2 linked regions of the Macaca fascicularis genome follow. The protein of the gene in region 1 purifies or fractionates together with the protein of each later gene. This does not show direct contact. Links are inferred from orthologs where the notes say so. Each region holds a gene or a part of one and is shown on either strand. Other genes may lie near its edges.

The links. Proteins that work in one complex are often made in the same cells at the same time.
Region 2: the proteins of RPTOR (region 1) and MLST8 purify together in Homo sapiens (affinity purification with western blotting; 15 studies listed by BioGRID and IntAct, with this or other methods). This does not show direct contact. The link is inferred for Macaca fascicularis from reciprocal best matches to the Homo sapiens genes RPTOR and MLST8.

Annotation. Positions count from the first base shown.
Region 1 is NC_088390.1:87,372,739-87,382,359, reverse strand, and holds part of RPTOR (regulatory-associated protein of mTOR), read right to left. Parts: intron 8,542-9,621; coding exon 8,435-8,541; intron 6,156-8,434; coding exon 6,028-6,155; intron 4,869-6,027; coding exon 4,782-4,868; intron 3,820-4,781; coding exon 3,703-3,819; intron 3,373-3,702; coding exon 3,243-3,372; intron 1,947-3,242; coding exon 1,878-1,946; 3' UTR 1-1,877. UniProt on the Homo sapiens protein: Component of the mechanistic target of rapamycin complex 1 (mTORC1), an evolutionarily conserved central nutrient sensor that stimulates anabolic reactions and macromolecule biosynthesis to promote cellular biomass generation and growth.
Region 2 is NC_088394.1:2,970,947-2,981,190, reverse strand, and holds MLST8 (target of rapamycin complex subunit LST8), read right to left. Parts: upstream 5,586-10,244; 5' UTR 5,527-5,585; intron 5,189-5,526; exon of another isoform or gene 5,067-5,188; intron 5,010-5,066; exon of another isoform or gene 4,980-5,009; 5' UTR 4,955-4,979; coding exon 4,826-4,954; intron 4,683-4,825; coding exon 4,631-4,682; intron 4,545-4,630; coding exon 4,382-4,544; intron 4,003-4,381; coding exon 3,927-4,002; intron 3,845-3,926; coding exon 3,692-3,844; intron 2,831-3,691; coding exon 2,706-2,830; intron 2,590-2,705; coding exon 2,426-2,589; intron 2,282-2,425; coding exon 2,163-2,281; 3' UTR 1,687-2,162; downstream 1-1,686. Other genes in the region: BRICD5 (BRICHOS domain-containing protein 5), read left to right, coding at 221-271, 404-532, 762-917, 997-1,098, 1,342-1,686.

The sequences.
Region 1 (9,621 bases):
CGGACCTGTGAAGACAGCCCACGTGCAGGTGGCACGCGGAGCCCGCGGGGGCGGCTCCAGGGCGGAGTGGGCGCAGGAGGGTCTTGTCCCCTCTGGAGCCACCTGCCTTTTGACAGGTGGTGGTTTTGTCTCAAAACAAACAGAAACGCGTGTTAGGTAAGAATCGAGTTGAAGGACTGGACGGGAAGCTGTGTGTGCGGGTGGAGCTGGGCTTCTGGAAGATTCTGGTGTTGCCGCCTGGCATGCCCTGTGAGCTGAGTGAGGCCGGGACTTGTGGGGGTTGGGGCCCTCTACACCTTCTGGACCTGGTCTGCTCGCTCGGCCCAGACGTGGGGATGGGATTCGTGCCGGAACCTTCTTCTGGTGGGAGCTCACATTTCAAAAAAGAGCAGCGGAGGGGCCGCCTCTGTCCCACCTTGTCATGTCCCGGCCAGCCCCAGCTCAGACTCCAGCTCAGCCCCCTGAAGACCACGTGTTTCTCTGACCAAACGCAGCTAGGCAGGGTTCCATCCACCCAGAAGATGCTCTTGGCCACGGCAGGATGCCAGTCACACCACAGGGGAGCCGGGCCTCGCCGTGCCCGCTCTCACTCCCGTGGTTGTGGGCCTCTTACTGCCGCAATGAAGCCACTTGGCTCCTCCACCTCTCAATAATCCTGATTCCCGACGAACATGGAAAAAATGCTTTTCAAAATACCATCATTGTGGTTGTGTTCTGTTTGCAAAACTGCCCTGAGGCCCCTCCTGGGCGGGACTGTCCACACAGCTCCTGTCTGCACCACAGGCCCAGCTGCAAGCCAAGGTCGCATCAGCATGGGCGACTCAGGGCTGGAGATGGGGCTGGTGTCACCCAGAGCCGTCTAGGACCCGGCAGTGCCTCTCACCTGTGTGTGATGAACGTGTGCGGACAGAGCAGGGAGACCACGCCGCCTGCATGTGTGCCCCCAGGGTGCCAGCCGTGGTGCCCGCACATGCGTGTGCTACACCCGTGTGTGGGCACAGGCACGGAGACCACAGGCCGGGTCGCCGCCCCTGCGCGTGTGGGGAAGAGCAGCCCTTCGGAGGGAAAGGAGCCCTGTGGACTAAGGCAGGGGCTACACTGCCAAGGACCTGCCTCTTCGGTGCGCGGCCACAGAGGCCCCTGCTGACAGCTCTGCATGAGGGGCCAAAACTAGAGTCTAGAGACCTGGAGGTGCAGGGAGGGTGGGCTGTGGAGGAGGCGCTGCGCTCCTCCCGTTCAGTGATGCGGCCAGCGGCCAAGGACAGCCCGGCCCCCTGGGCGGCTTTCTTCATACCACCAGCTAGAGGGGCGTCTCCTTCTTCCTTTCTCTTGGTTTCCCGAATTTCCAGTGTGCCCCAGCCGGCTAGGAAATGTCCCTGCTTGCGTGCACTGACTGTGAGAGGCGGTGGGCCTGGCTGGGGCAGCACCTCTCGCTCGCTCTTGGCCTGATGGGGACGGCTGCTCCAGGGACCCGCAGGAGCCCCAGCGCCTGCCTCTCCTCCAGGGCTGTCTGGGGGTTTTGCTGCAGCTAATGCTCTGATTACATGGAAATAAAATGAGGTGTTTCCCCTTTCAACGTCTCAGAGAAACACAGAACAGGAGAGGGACAGACCGCTGCGGCCGCGGGGGTGCACCTGGATGCTGGTGCTCAGTGGGAAGCCACCGTCAACCTAAGCCCTCCCCGTCCCTGACGTTCCGGACACGACAGCGAAGACAGACAAAAGCGAGTAGCAGGGCCCTCCTGCCGTCATCAGCAGCTAAGGCAGCAGCCAACGTTCACACCGCGGGGCCGCAGCAGCCGACACCCCGCGCCCCGGCAAGTGGCAGCTTCACTATGTACAGCAGGCGGCCGTGGCCTGGCGGGCCGGGTCGCGCCGCTATCTGACGCGCTTCTCCACCGAGTACACGGAGATGTAGTAGTCGTTGCTTCCCACGGCCAGGTGAGGCTGCAAGGAGAGAGCAGAAGGGTAAGCAGGGGTTCAGGTGCGGACACTGCGGGCGGGGGGCGGCGTGCGGGCCAACCCGCATCCTTAGGCAGCTCCTGCCGGGGTCTCAGGAATCCCTGCGCCCACCTCAGGCCCGGAAATGCTGGGCCGGTCCCCACCAGTCCTCTCTGCAGGGCCCATGCATGGTGCACTCCGTGAGAGGTGTGGTGCTGCCCCCGGGCCCTGCGTGTTTTTTTCAGCACTGCCCCTCAGGGACAGCTCTGGGATCTAATGTCACACGTTAGCAGAGCTGCATGCCTGAAGCCTGAAGGCATGAACGCAAGAAGGCAGGTGGGCAGGATCCTAATCTAAAGACAATGGCCTGAAGCCACGTGGGGAGGCTGCAACCAAGGCCAGAGAGCCGTGCAGGTGGGGCCCAGCTGCACAGGGGACGGGGTAAGGACTTGGTCACACAGGGGATGGGGGTGAGGGCTGCACAGGGGACGGGGTGAGGGTCGCAGAGGGGACGGGGTGAGGGTCACAGAGGGGATGGGGTGAGGGCCGCAGAGGTGACGGGGTGAGGGCCGCAGAGGGGACGGGGTGAGGGCCGCAGAGGGGACGGGGTGAGGGTCGCAGAGGGGACGGGGTGAGGGCCGCAGAGGGGACGGGGTGAGGGTCGCAGAGGGGACGGGGTGAGGGCTGCAGAGGGGACGGGGTGAGGGTCGCACAGGGGACGGGGTGAGGGCCGCACAGGGGACGGGGTGAGGGCCGCACAGGGGACGGGGTGAGGGCTGCAGAGGGGACGGGGTGAGGGTTGCACAGGGGACGGGGTGAGGGTTGCACAGGGGACGGGGTGAGGGTCGCAGAGGGGACGGGGTGAGGGTCGCACAGGGGACGGGGTGAGGGTCGCACAGGGGACGGGGTGAGGCCTGCAGAGGGGACGGGGTGAGGGTTGCACAGGGGACGGGGTGAAGGCTGCACAGGAATGGACACCCTGAGCGACTCTGCCTGGAGGTCCCCAGGGATGGCTTTAGTGCAGGGTCTGAGGGCAGGAGCTCTGCCCGACCACTGTGCATGCGCCGTCAATTCTTCCCAGAGTGACGTGACTGGAGCTCTGCTTCCAGGGCGAGTATAGGGTGGGTCAGGGGCCCTGGAGATTCTGGGCCCCGGGCAAGTCTCTTCTTCAGGTGGCCAGTGGACCCCACTGTGGTGTGGGGTGCCCAGGCAGGACCCCTGCTGTCTGGCCCCCTTGCCTCCCATCCCTCGCCCCTGGCCCCCGGCCCCCGGCCCCCAGCCCCCACCCACCGCTGCACTGACCCAGTGTGGGTGGAAGGCCAGGCAGCTGATGGCGCCGACCCGCTGACCCATGAAGCCGTCGTAGTACTTGATGTTGTTGATCAGCTCGCCGCCCCCATTGTAGATGGCAGTGAACTGATTGACGGAGCCACTGTGGGGAGAGAAAGGGTCCCAGTGTCACTGCCCTCTCCTCTGAGGATGGAAGAAAGACAGGTGCACAGGCTGAGACTGCAGGGACAGGCCGGCTCGGGGCAGGTGTGACCCTCTGGTCACTCTCACTGAGGACTCGGGCCTGGCAGGGCCCTGAGAGTTGATCCTGGGAGGAGGATGTGGTGGGCAGAGATCTTTTGTTTTTATGTCCCAACAGCAGTGAAATCCTCCCCTGCCCTCCTTCAGCTCCTGTGGGGCAGGCACACAAGAGCCTCGTGTTTGCACAGAGGCCGGAGGCAGGGAGCTCGGAGGCCAGGGAGGCGGCGCCTACCATGCGATCAGGTCCGCCTGGGGGTGGATGTCCAGGGCTGTCAGCCCCTTCACGATCTGAAGCACATTCACCGACTCGGGCATCCGGGGATCAAAGATGCGCACGTCTCCATTGACACTGCCAAGAGAGGGTCACGGTGACACCTCCACCCGGAGCCCCCAGGAGGGGCCTAACCGGGGGACGGCGGAACTGGGTGTGGGGGTCGCACGCCTGTTTGCACACACACTGCTCAAGGAAAAGGCTGCCTGGATGCTCAGCGCCCCTGTGAGGGCTGCCCAGGCCGGGCCCAGACACGCCCCCGCACCGGTCTCAGGGTCAAGGCTGCCCCTCGAGCTCCCTCAGAGCCAGAAAAGGCCCGGAGCTTTCCCGCCTAGAGAAACGGCCACGAGCACAGACGCAGGAGGAGGCTGTGAGCTACTGGCTTCATTTCCAGCCAGAGATTAGATTTCATGCAACAGGGGCCTGCAGTCCCGGGAGACAGAGCCTAGATGGCGGGCTGCGGCCTGAGGGATGGCCTGGCCCTTTTGAGGCCCCGTGGCTCCTGCCTTCCACCCTAGCAGGCGTCCATCCCAAGAGTTATGTCTGGTTTTTATATCACAAACAAGAGGGGAAAGAGCATCTCTTTGAAGAAATGCTGGCTTTGTGTTCATAAATTACATTCTGCTCTCCCTTTAATAGGCAAATAAATATTCCCTGCTCTTGGTGCTGTATTCACCAAGCCGCAGAACTGAATTTACGTGCAGACAACTGCCACATGCCTGGCGGATGCGCCGCCCCTGCCGCTCGGCCACCCCTGCTGTGGAGGGAGAGCCGCTGCCCAGCTCCCCCCGACCCTCCGCGCGGCAGCCCAGGAAAGTTCCCACAGCGCCGGCAGGTCAGGTGTCCCCCAGCAGGGGGAGCAGCCGCGCCCGGGCCCCTGGGGGCTGTGCCGGACCTTTCTGGCCAGTTCCAGGGCAGGAGTTAATTATCGCCCGAAATGCCATCCCCTTTCCGCTGTTTAAATACCAAGGACATATTTTAAAAGGGGGGAAAATAATGTTTTTACAGCAGAGCGGCTGCTAACCATCGGCGCTCCTCACCTCACGCTCACGATGTGGCCGTCGGGGCGCTTCTGCAGAGAGGCCTTCACCACCCAGGCCGTGTGCTCGCGGTACGTCATGACGCGGCTGCAGGGGAGGGGCGCTCAGCGTGGGCTTCCCCGAAGGATGTCCCCACCCTTCGGGGCTCTCACCGGGGGCTGCCCAGGTCTGCCTGTGCCAGCGGGTCCGCACCAGGGACTGCCCACGTCTGCCTGTGCCAGCGGGCTCTCACCGGGGGCTGCCCAGGTCTGCCTGTGCCAGCGGGTCCGCACCGGGGACTGCCCACGTCTGCCTGTGCCAGCGGGTCCGCACCGGGGACTGCCCACGTCTGCCTGTGCCAGTGGGTCCGCAGGCCCTCGCCCGTCCGCTGCCCAGGAGGAGCTAGTGCCCATGCAGGGTCAGAGCCCCCTCCAGGTGACCTGCTCCAGCAGAGACCCCCTGTGTCCTCCCCAGGCCGGCTCAGGGCTGGGCCCTAGGTCACCGTCAGGCCGCTGGAGGACTGTCTGAGCCACATGGGAGCTGCCCAGAGATGGGGGCCAGGCGGCCATTGCAGCGCTCCCAGGCCCTGCCCACCCTTTGCTTTACTTCCCTCAAAACTCCTCACTGTGCCTGCCTGATCTGTGCAGACTGGAGGGTTAGGAATGAGAATCCCAGATCTAAAGCTGATGAAGCTGGGGGCACAAGGACCTTCTGGGAATCCTCGCTCTGTGCCGGGTGAAATTTACTTCTGCTGCATCAGCCATGTGGGCCAAGGCAGACTGTCCCCTGCTAGGCCCGGACAGCACCTGCCCACAGGGTGCTCGGCGGAGGCAGTGCCCGGGGCTGCTGTGCCCACGCGTGTGCCCTCAGACATCCCTCCCTGGACACTTGCTGCGTGACCCAGGAGGTGGCAGGCAGTGGCGGTATTCTGTTCAGGTGAGCTCAGAGGTGGCAGGTGTCTGGCTGGGGCCCCCGCCTCACCCCGATAGCCTCTGCCTCCAGTCCACTGGCTCATCCCACACGGCCAGTACCCCGTGCTCCTCCACAGGCTGTGGGATGGACCTCTGTGGGATAGGCCTCGGTGGGACAGGCCTGGCGGTTTTGGGGAGCCCAGCAGGACTGGCCTAAATACTCCATTGTGGGCTCCTGGGGAAGCTTTGCATCTCACTGAGAAACCTGGACCCAACCAACTGGTAGTGACACGGCCTCTACCACCTGGAAGGTACCCTGCCACCACTGGGGGAGGGAGAGGACAGGGCCAAGGTACCATTCGCTGAGTGCCATCCTTCTGTCGTAGACACGGATGGAGCCATCACCGAGGCCAGCCACGATGAGTGAGCGGTGGGAATCACAGGACAGGCTCGTCACGCAGCTGTCTGCGCCCGTGGGGATGTCCTAGGGCCAAACACAGGCAGCCCGGTGAAGACCTGGGCACTGAGCTGCCCTCCCTGCTGTCCTGCAGCACCAGGACCCCTCTTGCTGCCTCCCTGGCTGTGGGGATCCCCCTCCCTGGCTGCAGGGGCCTTTCTCTCTATCCAGGGAAGCATCAAAGGCCCGGGGAGCCCAGGAGTCCCAGAGAGAGGCAGGGCACTGAGTCACACCCTTGTCCGTTGGCCTTGGAGGGACAGTCCTCGGCGCCTGGGCCCCGAGCCAGTGAGGCAGAGCCCAGCCCCACCCTGAGCGGTGGCCTGCAAACGCCTCTGGGAAGGACTGGCTGTCAGTGCCAATTAAACTTCCAACCTCTCTCTGCTTCCTAAAAAGGAAAGCAAAGCACATTTTGGCAAGGACTCCTCACTGGCTACTTCTCAGAACTTCTAATGAACTACGGGGATGAGTCCAGGAGGGGTCGCCTGGCTCCCTCGGGGACTATAAGTGCTGGAGAAGTGGGGGTGGGGGGCGATGGCACCTGCCAGGGACGCAGGAGGAAAAGGGCCACGAGAGGGAGAGTGCTTTCCACGCATGAAGGATGGTGCTGGGTTGTGTACTCCAGGAGGAAACCCAGGTGTGGGGACGATGGGGCCGGACCCCTGCGAGGGGCAGAGGTGGCTCTGGGAACACCTGCTGCGCTCTGTGCCTCCACGCACCTCTGCAGGAACAGCACCTGCCCCGCAGGCCACCCGGGCCTCTAAGACCCAACTGGTGACCAGACCCTGGGGATCAGGGTGTCCACGCTGTGCCCTGAGGGCCACATCTCGTGTGGAGCCACAGTTCCAGGCAGGCCCAAGACCCTTCCACCCCAAAGAATGAAAGCTGCTGGTGCCTTGTGGGATCCGTGGTCAGGTCAGAGGAGACGCTGCCCACAGGGAGAGGCCTGGGCCAGGTTCTCAGGCTGCTGCCGCCCAGAGCAACCACAGTGGCTTTGAGCAGCTGAGGGTGCCCAGGCCTCCCCTCTGCTGGGCCTGCACCACACCACCCTCTACGGCAGGGCTGAGCCACCCCTTCTGACACCAGACGGCCTGGGAGAGAGGCTGGGGACGGCCTCTGCTCCGCACCTCTCCCTGGGGAGCCGGGGGAAGGGAATCCTGGCTCTAAAGCCACCTCAGGCACTGTCCCTCACAGTATCTGTGGTCTCGCCTCTGCTCCGAACGAAGTCAATGCAGGTAGATTTCTGCTGAGCGCGGCCTCCTGAGGTCTCTACCACTTTTCCAGGCTGTTTGGGGCAAAACCAATGTACTCCGCTTTTTGTCAAAACTGAAAATAACATGCTTTAAGAGGCAAAGAGGCTTCTGGCCAGGCGCAGTGGCTCACGCCTGTAATCCCAGCACTCTGGGAGGCTGAGGTGGGTGGATCACGAGGTTAGGAGATCGAAACCATCCTGGCTAACACGTGAAACCCCATCTCTACTAAAAATACAAAAAAAATTAGCCGGGCGTGTTGGTGGGCGCCTGTAGTCCCAGCTACTTGGGAGGCTGAGGCAGGAGAATGGCATGAACCCGGGAGGCGGAGCTTGCAGTGAGCTGAGATCACACCACTGTACTCCAGCCTGGGCGACAGAGTGAGACTCCGTCTCAAAAAAAGAAGCAAAAAGCCTTCTGTAGTGGCTCACACCTGTAATCCCAGTGCTTTGGGAGGCCCAGGCAGGAAGATTGCCGGAGCCAGGAATTCGAGACCAGCCTGGGCAAATACTGAGACCCCCGTCTCTACAAAAAGTTTAAACAATTAGCCAGGCGTGGGGGCGCATGCCTGTAGTTCCAGCTACTTGTGGGGGTGAGATGGGAGGATCACGTGGACCAGGAGGTTGAGGCTGCAGTGAGCTGTGACTGCACCACTGCACTCCAGCCTGGGTGACGCAGGGTGACAGAGTGAGACCCCATCTCAAAAAAACAAAAAAAAACAAAAACCCTACAAATAATCATTCTAATTTACAATGGCTCACCCTACTGATTTTTGACATTCCTTAACTTGCAGAGAGAAGACCCTACTTGAAAACACTCAGAGCTGGCACAGGCTGAGCCACACTAGTGCGGGGCTGAACGCTGCGGTTCACCCGCATCCACGGGCCTCAGGCAGCCCATGTCTCCTCCCGGCATTGCCCGGCACTGTCCTTCCAGGCCCTGCCTCCGCCCCTGGGATGGCCAGGCCTCACCGCACACTGTGCTGGGCTCTGTGATGAGGACCAGCCCTGCACACACTGCCCCACAGGCCTGGGGCTTGGGGGACACCCGCATGGTTACCTGCACCTTCATCTCACGGTCTGTGTCCCAGATCCGGACGATCCGCACGTCCCCCGAGCTCATGAGGAGGCCGGTCTCCTGCTCCCAGTCCACCACCATCCCGGCTCCTGGAGAGACACAGTGGGACGTGGCGTCACCCCATGGGCCCTCGCCTTGGGCAGGCTTTGAGGCCTGCTCTGGGCAGCTACTTGGCCAGGGGCTCCAAGGAACCCCTGCCACCACTGAGCCCATCTAGTGGGTCCATATGCCTCACATGAGCTCCTGCTGGGGCCCCTGGTGTGCCCCACATCCAGGCTGGGGCGACAATTCTGAGCTGGAACTCCGAGCCTTCCCCTGACTCGCCTATGACCCAGGCATCTGCTAGAGGGAGCAGCCCCTTCCAGGAACGTCTAAGGTGCCCACCGTCTGGAGCAGAGCCTTCCAGGAACATCTACGATGCCCGCCGTCTGGACACCTGGGCAGAACTGGCAGGTCGCGGTGACTTTAGGAAGGCTGTCAAGGCTTGAAGATGAGGGTCCTCCATTTGGCCCTGTCAAAGCTGGAGGAGGCCAGTTCTTCTGAGACCAACAGGAGCTCAGCATGGGCCACGGGCTGGCAGACTCCAGACAGCCAGGGGCTGACTCCCGACGGCCGGCGTCAGCAAGGGATGGACGGAGAGAACGGGGCAAGGGCTGCCCTTTGTGCAGGGATTAGACAGAGCAGAGCAACCCCACCTCACGTGACGGCCTCTATTTAAAACCAGATTCAGTTCTAGAAGTGTAATGGTAACTACTTTAAATACAGAAAGGAACACCACAGTAATCCTTGACCCACCACTCAGCTCTAACTTTGCTTTTTACCATTGTTTCCTTTTTTTTTTTTTTTTTTTCTTAGAGAAGTATAATTTTAGACACAGTAAAAGCATCACCTGCCCCTGCCCCTGCCCGTGCCCGGGAGAGCTGTCCCGTGGGCTGAGGGCGCCTCCCAGGGGCCGCTGAGGTGTACCACGCCTTCCACATTTCAAAAAGCCTCTTCAATGTCAAAACGGGGCCTCCCTTCTGGCGACTTGCTTCGTTACTGTTAGGCTTTGAGGATTTATCTGGCCCAAGACACGCAGCTCTGGTTAACTCATTTAATCTTGTGTTACCTTCCACTGTACAACTAACCCCGTCATTGGAGCTGCCCCTGGCTTTGTGAACCATGTCATA
Region 2 (10,244 bases), on another chromosome or scaffold:
CCCTGATCTCCAGTCTGCACAGGCCAGGTGTCTGGAGCCGGGCCTGGTGACAGGCATCCCCCAGGTGGGAGGAGGGGACTGTCCTGGCTCTGACCTGGATATCAGATCCGGAGCTGAGGGAGAGGCGCGGGGTTAGGAGGGGAGGCGTTCTGAGTTTCCCCGGCCAAGGCTGCAGACAAGGGGCGCAGACAATCGGCACATTGTGAGCAGGGGCTGCAGGATGAAGCCAGCGAACTGCCGCGCTGAGCGCCCCAAACCTGGGCCTACAGGGGTGAGTGCCTCCCATCACTCCTGCAGCAAGGACCCAGGGGGTGCCCCTGGCCACCCAGCCCCTCCCTTCCCCAGCCCACTGGCTCCCTGATCTCTAAACCCCATGACCCTTCTGACCCTAATGCGCCCCCAGGTGAAGACCAAGCCCACCTGTGGGGGCTGGAGAGCCACGGGCCTATCCCTGCTGCTGCTGCTCCTGGCACTGGCCACTGCGGGAGCTGTGGCTGGAGGGCTTCTTGGCTTCGCTCAGGGCCCTCCCAAGGTGAGCCCCTCCTCAGCACCAGGGATGTGGACAGTGAAAAGGGGAAAGGGAAGCTGGCACATCCCAGCCTCCAGCAGAGCCAGGGTGCAGAGCAGGCAGTGACCGCCTAGGAGCAGACGGCCAGAGGTGGAAGGGCCCACTCGGGGATGTCAGGAGTCCTGCAGCCCAGAGCTGGCGGCTGTGCTGGGGTTGTCCAGCTGCCCAGCTGAACTCCAACTCCCACTGCCAGCCAAGGCTGCAGACGCTACGAATGACCCTCCCAAGCCCCCACATGCCCCGGCCCAACCAAACCATCCTGGTGGACGTGGCCCGGAACGCAGCGACCATCACAGTGACCTCACCTCAGAGCAACCACAGCTGGGTGGTGCTGTTCGACGGGCAGAGCGTGAGTGGGCAGGGAGGGGTCACGTCACCCTTGCAGGTGTCGGTCGGGGTGGCCCTGCCTCACCTCCCTGCCTCCCCAGGGCTGCATCTGTTACCGCCCCGAGGAGCACCAGGCCTGCTTCCTCCGCCTGATGGAGGACAGTGATCGGGAGACCCTGCGGCTGCTGATGGATACCTCCAAGGTGAGCCATCCTGCTGGGCACAGCCCCCCACCAGGGGCTAGACAAAGGGTCCTGTGTGCAGCTGGGCACAGGATAGGCTGGAGCTCTGGTTTCAGGGAACAGGAAGCTCTCTCCACCCTGAGCCCAGGCTGCTGACAAGAGCAGAGGGTGGGGACATCACTGGGGGTTGGGGGGTATCCAGCCCCGCCCAGCCAGGAGTAGGGAGCAGCCCTGTCCCACAGCCCACCAGAGCCTTCTCAACAGGTCCAAGAGCCTCGGGGCCCTGCCCAGGACACCCAACACACCCAGGAGCTGCTGGCAGTGCAGGGGAGCCACGAGGTGGACCCTGCCCAGGTGGGGGATTTGGTGCAGCGCCTGTGCACAAGGACCCCCATCTACTGGGCCCGGCGAGCAGAGGGTGAGTCAGGGCCACTGTGGGGGGAGGCCAGGCCCTCGGGATGGTTTGATGAGCTGGGGGCGGAGCCCTTGGGGATTCACGGCACTCTCACCACAGGGCCCCGGAGACAGCGGCTGATTTATCTGTGCATCGACATCTGCTTCCCAAGCAACATCTGTGTGTCAGTCTGCTTTTATTACCTCCCAGACTGAGCCCCGACCTGGCCCAGCCCGGTCCCTGTCCCCAATCCAGCGGGCTGGCCAGGTCACCCGCACCAGGGAGGATAGCTGCCGGCAGGGACTAATAAACCCTTCCACCTGGCCACGGTGGTGTTCTCTGTGGACTAAGGCCCTGAAACGCGGCAGGGAGGGGACAGGAAACACACTAGCTTAGGGGTGGGCACCAGCCTCACACCCCTCAGCAGCTTTGGGCCCTTGGCTGACTCCCAGGCAGTGCAGGCTAGCCTAGTCCAGGAGTGTGCAGCCTGGCTTGGGTCGAGCTGTCACATCTGGATAAGCAACTGGGGGCTGAGAGTCCCAGGGCGGCCTGGCCCAGCAGGTCAAAGTGCCACAGGGGGCCATCAGGTCCAGCTGGTGTAGGCCGGCAGTAGGGCCTGTTCTGACCTGGGTGCTGCATGGGACCCTCCAGCTGCCACCACCTACACCAGGCAGTCCTGAGGGGTCACAGGCTAGCCCAGCACACTGTCGTTGAACGCCAGGCAGACGACAGCCTTCTGGTGGCCGCCATACTCTCTCTTGATCTCTCCAGTCTCCACACACCAGAGCCGGGCCAGGTTGTCCGAGGAAGCTGGAGGGGGAGATTGGGCAGGGCTCAGAGCAGAGGTGCAGGCCAGGCAGGTGGCCCTAGCAGAGGGGGAGCCGCAGCCAAGGTGGGCTGGCTCTGGAGGCCAGCGCTGGGAGGCCAGGGATGGGGAGGCTGGGCGGGGCTCACCAGTGACGATGTACTGGGAGTCCCCCGAGAAAGCACAGCCCCACATCCAACCACGGGAGGACTCCCCGGGGTTGCCGCTCTTGATGCTCAGCTCCGTCATCAGGGAGAAGTTGGACGTCCTCCAGATCTTGCACGTCTGATCAGCCGAGCAGGTGGCGAGGAGCCTGGGGTATGGGCGTGGGGGCGTGTCCAGCAGCAGCCACTCCACCCAGCAGCCCCTCCCGTCTCCAGCCCACAGCCCAGGCAGGTCCCCTCTCGGGCCAGCAGGCCCTGCACGCACGTGGAGTCGGGGCTGAAGCGGCACTGCAGGGCGTAGCGCGTGTGGGCGGGGATCTTGGTCTTGGGGATGAGCTGAGTTACCTCGTCACCAATGCCCCCCGTCAGATTCCAGACATAGCAGTTTCCCTAGAGGTCAGGAGGACCGTCACAGGGGACCCGAGGCCTCAGGTCTGAGACACAGGGAAGGATGCCCTGGGGGCCAACACTGGGGTTCAACTGTGCATGGGGACCCTGGGTCGGGGCGGACAGGCCCCTCTGGTCCTGCCTGCAGAAGGCACCTGGGTAGCCTGGCCCTAACCAAGGGCCACACATGGCAAGCCAAGAACAGGAGGCCACACCTGGCCAAAGACTCAAATTCCCCTTCCTGGAGGATGCCGATGGCCAATGGAAGTACACGGGAGAGGGCACCAGCTAGAGAGACAACATGACAAAGGCCAGGAGAAAGGAAATCCGGGGGCAAGAGGGACAAGTGACACGCTGGGATTAAATGGAGTTAACGGAAAAAAATGAGGTTGGAGAGAAGAACAGGGGCCACACCACGGCAGCCTAAGGGCAAGGCCAGTAGCCCTGGGTCTCCCCAGGGGAATGATGCCACCTGGCTGGTACTGACGAGGCACCACTAGAAGCATCCAAGAGAGAACGGGTCAGGGGCCGGGGGAGGTCAGGGAGGAGGAAAGGAGGCCTCAGAGAGTGTGTCAGCTGTCATGGGAAATGAGGGTGACTGGGACCAGGAGGCAACAGAGAGAAAAGAGGGAAGTGGACCGACTTGGGAGAGACTCCAGAAAGCGGAGCGACCGGCCTGCAGACAGGGCCAAGGCATTGGGAGCGACATTCACGCTTCTGGCTTTGCTGGCAGGGTGGGTGTTAGTGCCTAGGATGGGGAAGCAGGAGGGGGGCACTAAGGGACATCCAGGAATAAGCCCACCTGCAGAGGCTAAGGGCTGAGTGCCAAGCTGGCCCCACCCAGCACCTGCCTCCAGGACTCACAGCGCTATTGACAGCTGCCATGTAGCTGGCGTCGGGGTCAATGTGGGCAGACGTGATGGAGACCTCGGGCTCGGGGATCAGCTGCTCGTTGTGGTCTGTTTTCAAGTCCCAGATGTGGATAGCCCCGCTCTGGTCACCCACGATGAGCTCTGCCTGGGGTGCAGGGGTGGTGAGGCAGGACCCAAGCCCAGCCCTCCAAAGTCCCAGAGTGCCTGGCCCCATGAGCACCCCTCACCTGGTTGGGGTGCAGGCACACGCAGTTAATGGGTGCGTTCACCTGGAAGATCCGCTGGCACTGCAGGTTCCGGGACCTGTGGACCGGGCCAGGGCACATGCTGTCCATCTGGGCTTGTTGGTGCCCTACCCAGATGGCCTTAGCCTGGCCACTCCTCCCCTCCCTCTGCTAAAGGACCTGCCTCTTGGGAAATACTCGAGACGCAGGGCCCTCCACTCCAGCAGGGAGCCTAAGCCAGTGGCTGGTGGAAGGGGAATAACACGCTAGCTCCGGGCTCAAGGCAGGACTCGCGCTTTGATGCAATTCACTCTCCTCCTGTCCTCACTTCTCTCACTGAGTCGCCCACAGGAAGCTCCCTATTTCAGCCTCTGCTTGGAGAGAACCCAACCTAAAATGGTCTCTCAGAGCAGCCCAGCCCAGCCCAGCCCCAGGCAGCAGGCCCCTCCCCACCGCACCTGAGGTCCCAGATCCTGGCTGTGCAGTCCTCGCCGCCCGTGTACATCCAGCGGCCGTCTTCGTGGAAGCCCACAGACGCGATGTTCTTGTTGACGCCATCATAGCTGATGATGGGGTTGGGGTTATTGGAGTTGAGATCATACATGCGGATGTGCTGGTAACCTAGGGACACAGGCTGAAATGAAGCTTGGTTGTGCTCAGGTCGACCCACCAGAGGTCAGGGGTTAGAGATCAAGGGTCACAGATACCTGCAGCAGCAATCATACTGCGGTCTGGTGTGATCTCCAAGGCATTCACCTGCTGGGACTGTTAAGGAGGATGATGGGAAGGCAGCCCTGAGGACAGGGGCCCCCAGGCCTTCACCATCTGGCCTTCACCCAGGCTGTGGTCCCCACATGAGGCATCCCTCCAGCGCCGCCCTGCCCGCCCCAGGTGGAGGATACGGAGTCCTGGTGCTGCACAGTCCGGGTGCAGATGCCGCTGTGGGCCTGCCAGAAGCGCACGGTGTGGTCGTAGCCTGCAGTGGCCAGGATGACCGGGTCACTGCCCACCGTGCCTGGGGACGTGTTCATGGTGTGGCCTGCACGGGCCCTAGAGCTGAATAGCAGGGGTCAAAGGTCAGGGCATCTGCAGAGAAGGATGTAAAGTACTTAGAGGACACACTGTGCTAAACAGATTACAGACCCACGGGGCGCTGCCGAATGGCGCTTATCATTCCCAATTTAGAGTTGGGACAACAAGCGGAGGTAGGTTCAGGGACACGCGTCACACGCGTGACACCCGGCTCCGGGCGGCTCCGGGGCTCCAGGGCGCGTGCTCCATCCCCGCCCCACGCACCCGGCGGGGGCGCCGTCCCCCCCGCAGCCGACAGGGGGCAGTCACGCGCGGGCGCCACTCTGCCGCAGGGGCGGGCTGCGCGTGCGCAAGGCGGCGGGTGGGCCGGGGAAAGCCGAGCCCTGCGGCTGCGCATGCGTAGCAGGCCGGCGGCGGGCCGTGATGGGAAGGGGCGCAGTCTGGCTGGACCCCCGAGCTCCCCTGTCCTCCGCCGACCGCCCTTTCTCCGTCCTGCTGGCCGGCTTCCCCTAGCCGTACTCTCCCAGCCACCCAGCAGCCGGTTCCCGGCCCCTGGCTCGCGGCCTCGTACCTTACGGGCGACTCCGCACTCCGCTGTGTCCAGGACGGCAAGGGGAGCGGGAGCGAGTCGATCGAGGTCGAGCGTAGAGTTATCGATAACTCCCTAGGGCGAGACCATGGCGCGGGCGGGGGTGGATGGGACGAGACCAAAGTTCTGGGGCAGGGGGTTCCCGCCGGGAGGAACCCGGAGAGGTTCCTTGCGTTGCCGCGGGCCCGGCGCGAGGTGGAAGGAAGCTGCGGCTTTCTCTCTGGCCTCCTCCCCACTGGCACCTTCCCTTCTGACACGGCTGTCCGTTTCCCAGGCTGTCGGGTCGCGCCGTTCCCGTGCCCTCCCTGACCCACTAATGCGCCACGCTGGGCTAGAATTGGCTGAAAATTACAGGACTTGAGTTCAGACAACGAATAATTTTTTTTTTTTTAGTGTAAGTATATCCCGGACGTTGCATGGGAAATACTTATGCTAAAAAAAATTTTGCTGGGCATCCTGTAGTTGTACTCACTAGATCTGGTACCCCAGCCCCAGCCTGACCCTTGGGACATCCCACTGAGCCCAGGGTCCCCCTCAAAACCACAGGCCCTCATTCCAGCTCTGTGCGCTCCACGCTGGTGCCCTCACCCTTGAGACTGGCTCTCGCATGGTTTTTTCCCACTGCTCTTACAGATGTGACTGCACCCCTTCCTCTGGCCACAGAGGGGGTGCCTCTTGTCCCTTGACCAGGCCATAGTTCCCAGGAGCCTTCCTTCCTATACCTTCACCTCCTCTCCTTCCTGCCCCTTAGCCTTTAAACACTATAAAACAATCCCAGACTCTCTTCGTTAAAGAGCGGTCCTCACCGTTAGACCACGTCCTCACCTCCCACTCATTCTGCAACCCCAGTCATCTGCCTTTTACCCCAGCTCTCTAGGTCTCCAGTGGAAATTCCTCAAGGCCACTGACAATCTCACTTTGCTAAATCCAGTGGATACTTTTCCTTCCTTCCTCCCACCCGTTTTTTTTGTTTTGTTTTGTTTTGTTTTTTTGAGTCGCAATCTCCCTTTCTCACCCAGGCTGGGGTGCAGTGGTGCAATCTTGACTCACTGCAAAACCTCTACCTCCCAGGTTCAAGGGATTCTCCTGCGTCAGCCTCCTGAGTACCTGGGATGATAGGCGTGCGCCACCACACCTGGCTGATTTTTGTATTTTTAGCAGAGATGGGATTTCACCATGTTGGCAAGGCTGGTCTCAAACTCCTGACCTCAAGTGATCCGCCCACCTCAGCCTCCCAAAGTGCTGGGATTACAGGCATGAGCCACTGCGCCCAGCCTCCCACTTCTTTTTTTTTTTTTTTTTTTTTTTTGAGACAGAGTCTTGCTTTGTTGCCAGCCTGGAGTGCAGTGGTGCCATCTCGACTTTCCACAGTCTCCGCCTCCCAGGTTCAAGCCATTCTCCTGCCTCAGCCTCCCAGGTAGCTCGGATTACAGGTGTGTGTCACCACGCCCAGTTAATTTTTGTATTTTTAGTAGAGACAGGGTTTCACCATGTTGGCCAGGATGGTGGATGGTCTTGATCTCCTGACCTTGTGATCTGCACCCCCCCCAGCCTCCCAAAGTGCTGGGATTACAGGCGTGAGCCACTGTGCCCGGCCCCCTCCCACTTCTTGACGCATCTGTGCCATGGTTGACATCACCATGCCTGAAAGGCTGCCTTCTCCTAGCTCCTTTCTCGGAATTTAGTCTCTTTCCCTGCCTCCCTCCAAAGACTGGGGCTCTCCAGAGTTCACTCTCTGCACCCCACGAGATACTGGGGGGCTGGCGACTACTAGCTCTGGAGCTTCCAATGCTGTCCCTGTGCTGGGCCCCTTCCACTCTGTCTCCAGCTGTAATGGCCTCAGCTCCCTATTAGACACTGTCCTTTGAATGCCCCGCAGGGTCCACCACATTCCATGGCGGAGACAACTCATCCCTGAGTAGCTCCCCTTCTGTGGGCAGTGCTCACCTTGTATTGCCGCTGGGCAAGATCCGACACCTCCCCTTCCTCGCCCTGTCCTGTCTTGCCCTGCCCTGCGCTTCCCTTCCTCCCCCCCCCACCGCCCACCGATTTTACCTGTGACATATCTTCCTGTCCTTTCCCCTGCCCTGGCTCTAGCTCACCAGCCATCCCTCATAACAGCCTCCTTCCTTGCCCTAACCACTCTGGCCCCCTTCCAGACTGTCCTCCACAGTGCAGAATGGCCATTTATTTATTTATTTATTTTTTAGATGGAGTTTCACTCTTGTTGCCCAGGCTGGAGTGCAGTGGCGTGATCTCGTCTCACCGCAACCTCCCCCTCCCGGGTTCCTCAGTCTTCCAAGTAGCTGGGATTACAGGCATGCGCCACCACCCCGGCTAATTTTGTATTTTTAGTAGAGACAAGATTTCTTCATGTTGGTCAGGCTGGTCTTGAACTCCCGACCTCAAGTGATCCACCTGCCTCAGCCTCCCAAAGTGCTAGGTTTACAGGTGTGAGCCACCGCGCCCGGCCAGAATGGCCTTTTAAAAACCTCAGTCTGGGCTAGGTGCATTGGCTCACACCTGTAATCCTAGCACTTTGGGAGGCCAAGACAGGCGGATCACGAGGTCAGGAGATCAAGACCATCCTGGCTAACATGGTGAAACCCCGACTCTACTAAAAATACAAAAAATTAGACAGGCATGGTGGTGGGCACCTGTAGTCCCAGCTACTTGGGAGGCTGAGGCAGGAGAATGGCGTGAACCCGGGAGGCAGAGCTTGCAGTGAGCCGAGATGGTGCCACTGCATTCCAGACCGGGCAACAGAGCCATACTCCATCTCAGAACAAACAAACAAACAAAAACCCCTCAGCACAGTGATTCATGCCTGTAATCCCAGTACTTGAGCCTGAGCCCAGCACAGTGATTCATGCCTGTAATCCCAGTACTTTGGAAGGCTGAGGCAGGAGGATCACTTGAGCCCAGGAGTTCAAGTCCATCCTGGACAATACAGTGAGACCCCATCTCTACAAAAAATTTAAAAATTAGCCAGGAATGGGCTAGGCGTGGTGGCTCAAGCCTGTAATCCCAGCACTTTGGGAGGCCGAGACGGGTGGATCACGAGGTCAAAGGCAGAGCTTGCAGTGAGCTGAGATCCGGCCACTGCACTCCAGCCTGGGCGACAGAGCGAGACTCCGTCTCAAAAAAAAAAAAAAAAAAAAAAGCCAGGAATGGTGGTGCATGCCTGTGGTCCCAGCTACTTGGGAGGCTGAGGTGGAAGGTTCACTCGAGACCAGGAACTGGAGGCTGCAGTGAGCTGTGGTTGCGCCACTGCACTCCAGCCTGGGTGACAGAGCAAGACCTTTTCTCAAAACACAACAAAACAAAAACCCACAGCAAAACCTAGGAATGACGTGATCACCCCATTAGAAGCCGTCAGGGGTCCCTGTCCCTCTCCAGACTCCTGGGCCTGGCCCTGGCCCACCCTGTGGCTTCCATCTCCTCTCCATGTGATATAGTTAGGCTTTGTGTCCCCGCCCAAATCTCGTCTTGAATTGTAATCCACATAATCCCCGTGTGTCAAGGGACGGACCAGGTGGAGGTAACTGAATCAGGAGGGCGGGCTGCCCCATGCAGTTCTCATGATAGTGAGTGAGTGCTCAAGAGATCTGATGGTTTTTGGTTTTTTTTTTTTTTTTTTTTTTTTTTTTTGAGACGGAGTCTTGCTCTGTAGCCCGGGCTGGAGTGCAGTGGCCAGATCTCAGCTCACTGCAAGCTCCGCCTCCCGGGTTTAGGCCATTCTCCTGCCTCAGCCTCCGGAGTAGCTGGGACTACAGGCGCCCGCCACCTCGCCCGGCTAGTTTTTTTGTATTTTTAGTAGAGACGGGGTTTCACGGTGTTAGCCAGGATGGTCTCGATCTCCTGACCTCGTGATCTGCCCGTCTCGGCCTCCCAAAGTGCTGGGATTACAGGCTTGAGCCACCGCGCCCGGCCAGATCTGATGGTTTTATAAGGGGTTCCTCCTCCTTTGCTCCACTTCTTCCTGCCGCCTTACAGAGAATGGGTGCCTTGCTTCCCCTTCGCCTTCCGCCATGATTGTAAGTTTCCTGAGGCCTCCCCAGCCATGCTGAACTGTGAGTCAAATAAACCTCTTTCCTTTATAAATTATCCAGTCTCAGATGTTCTTTATTGCAGTATGAAAATGGACTAATACTCCATGCATCCTGTACTCTGGCCAGAGGAGACATGTTCTCTTTTTTTTGTTTTGTTTTGTTTTTCAGATGGAGTCTCACACTGCTGACAGGGCTGGACTGCAGTGGTGCAATCTCTGCCTCCTGGGTTCAAGCGATTCTCCTGCCTCAGACTCCTCCTGAGTAGCTGGGATTACAGGCACCCCCCACCATGCCTGGCTAATTTTTTGTATTTTTAGGAGAGACGGGGTTTCACCATATTGGACAGGCTGGTCTCGAACTCCTGACCTCATGATCTGCCGCCTCAGCCTCCCAAAGTGCTGGGATTACAGGCGTGAGCCACAGCGCCCAGCCATGTTCTCCCCTTTGAGCCCTTGCCTGTGTCTGGGATGCTTTTTCCTCTATGCGTTACCTGCCAAATTCCTGATTCTCAGCATCTCTAATAACATTTTCTTTTGGCTGGGCATGGTAACTCACATCTGCAATCCCAGCACTTTGAGGGACCAAGGTGGGATGATCACTTGATCCTAGGAGTTTGAGGCCAACCTGGGCAAGATGGCAAGACGACCT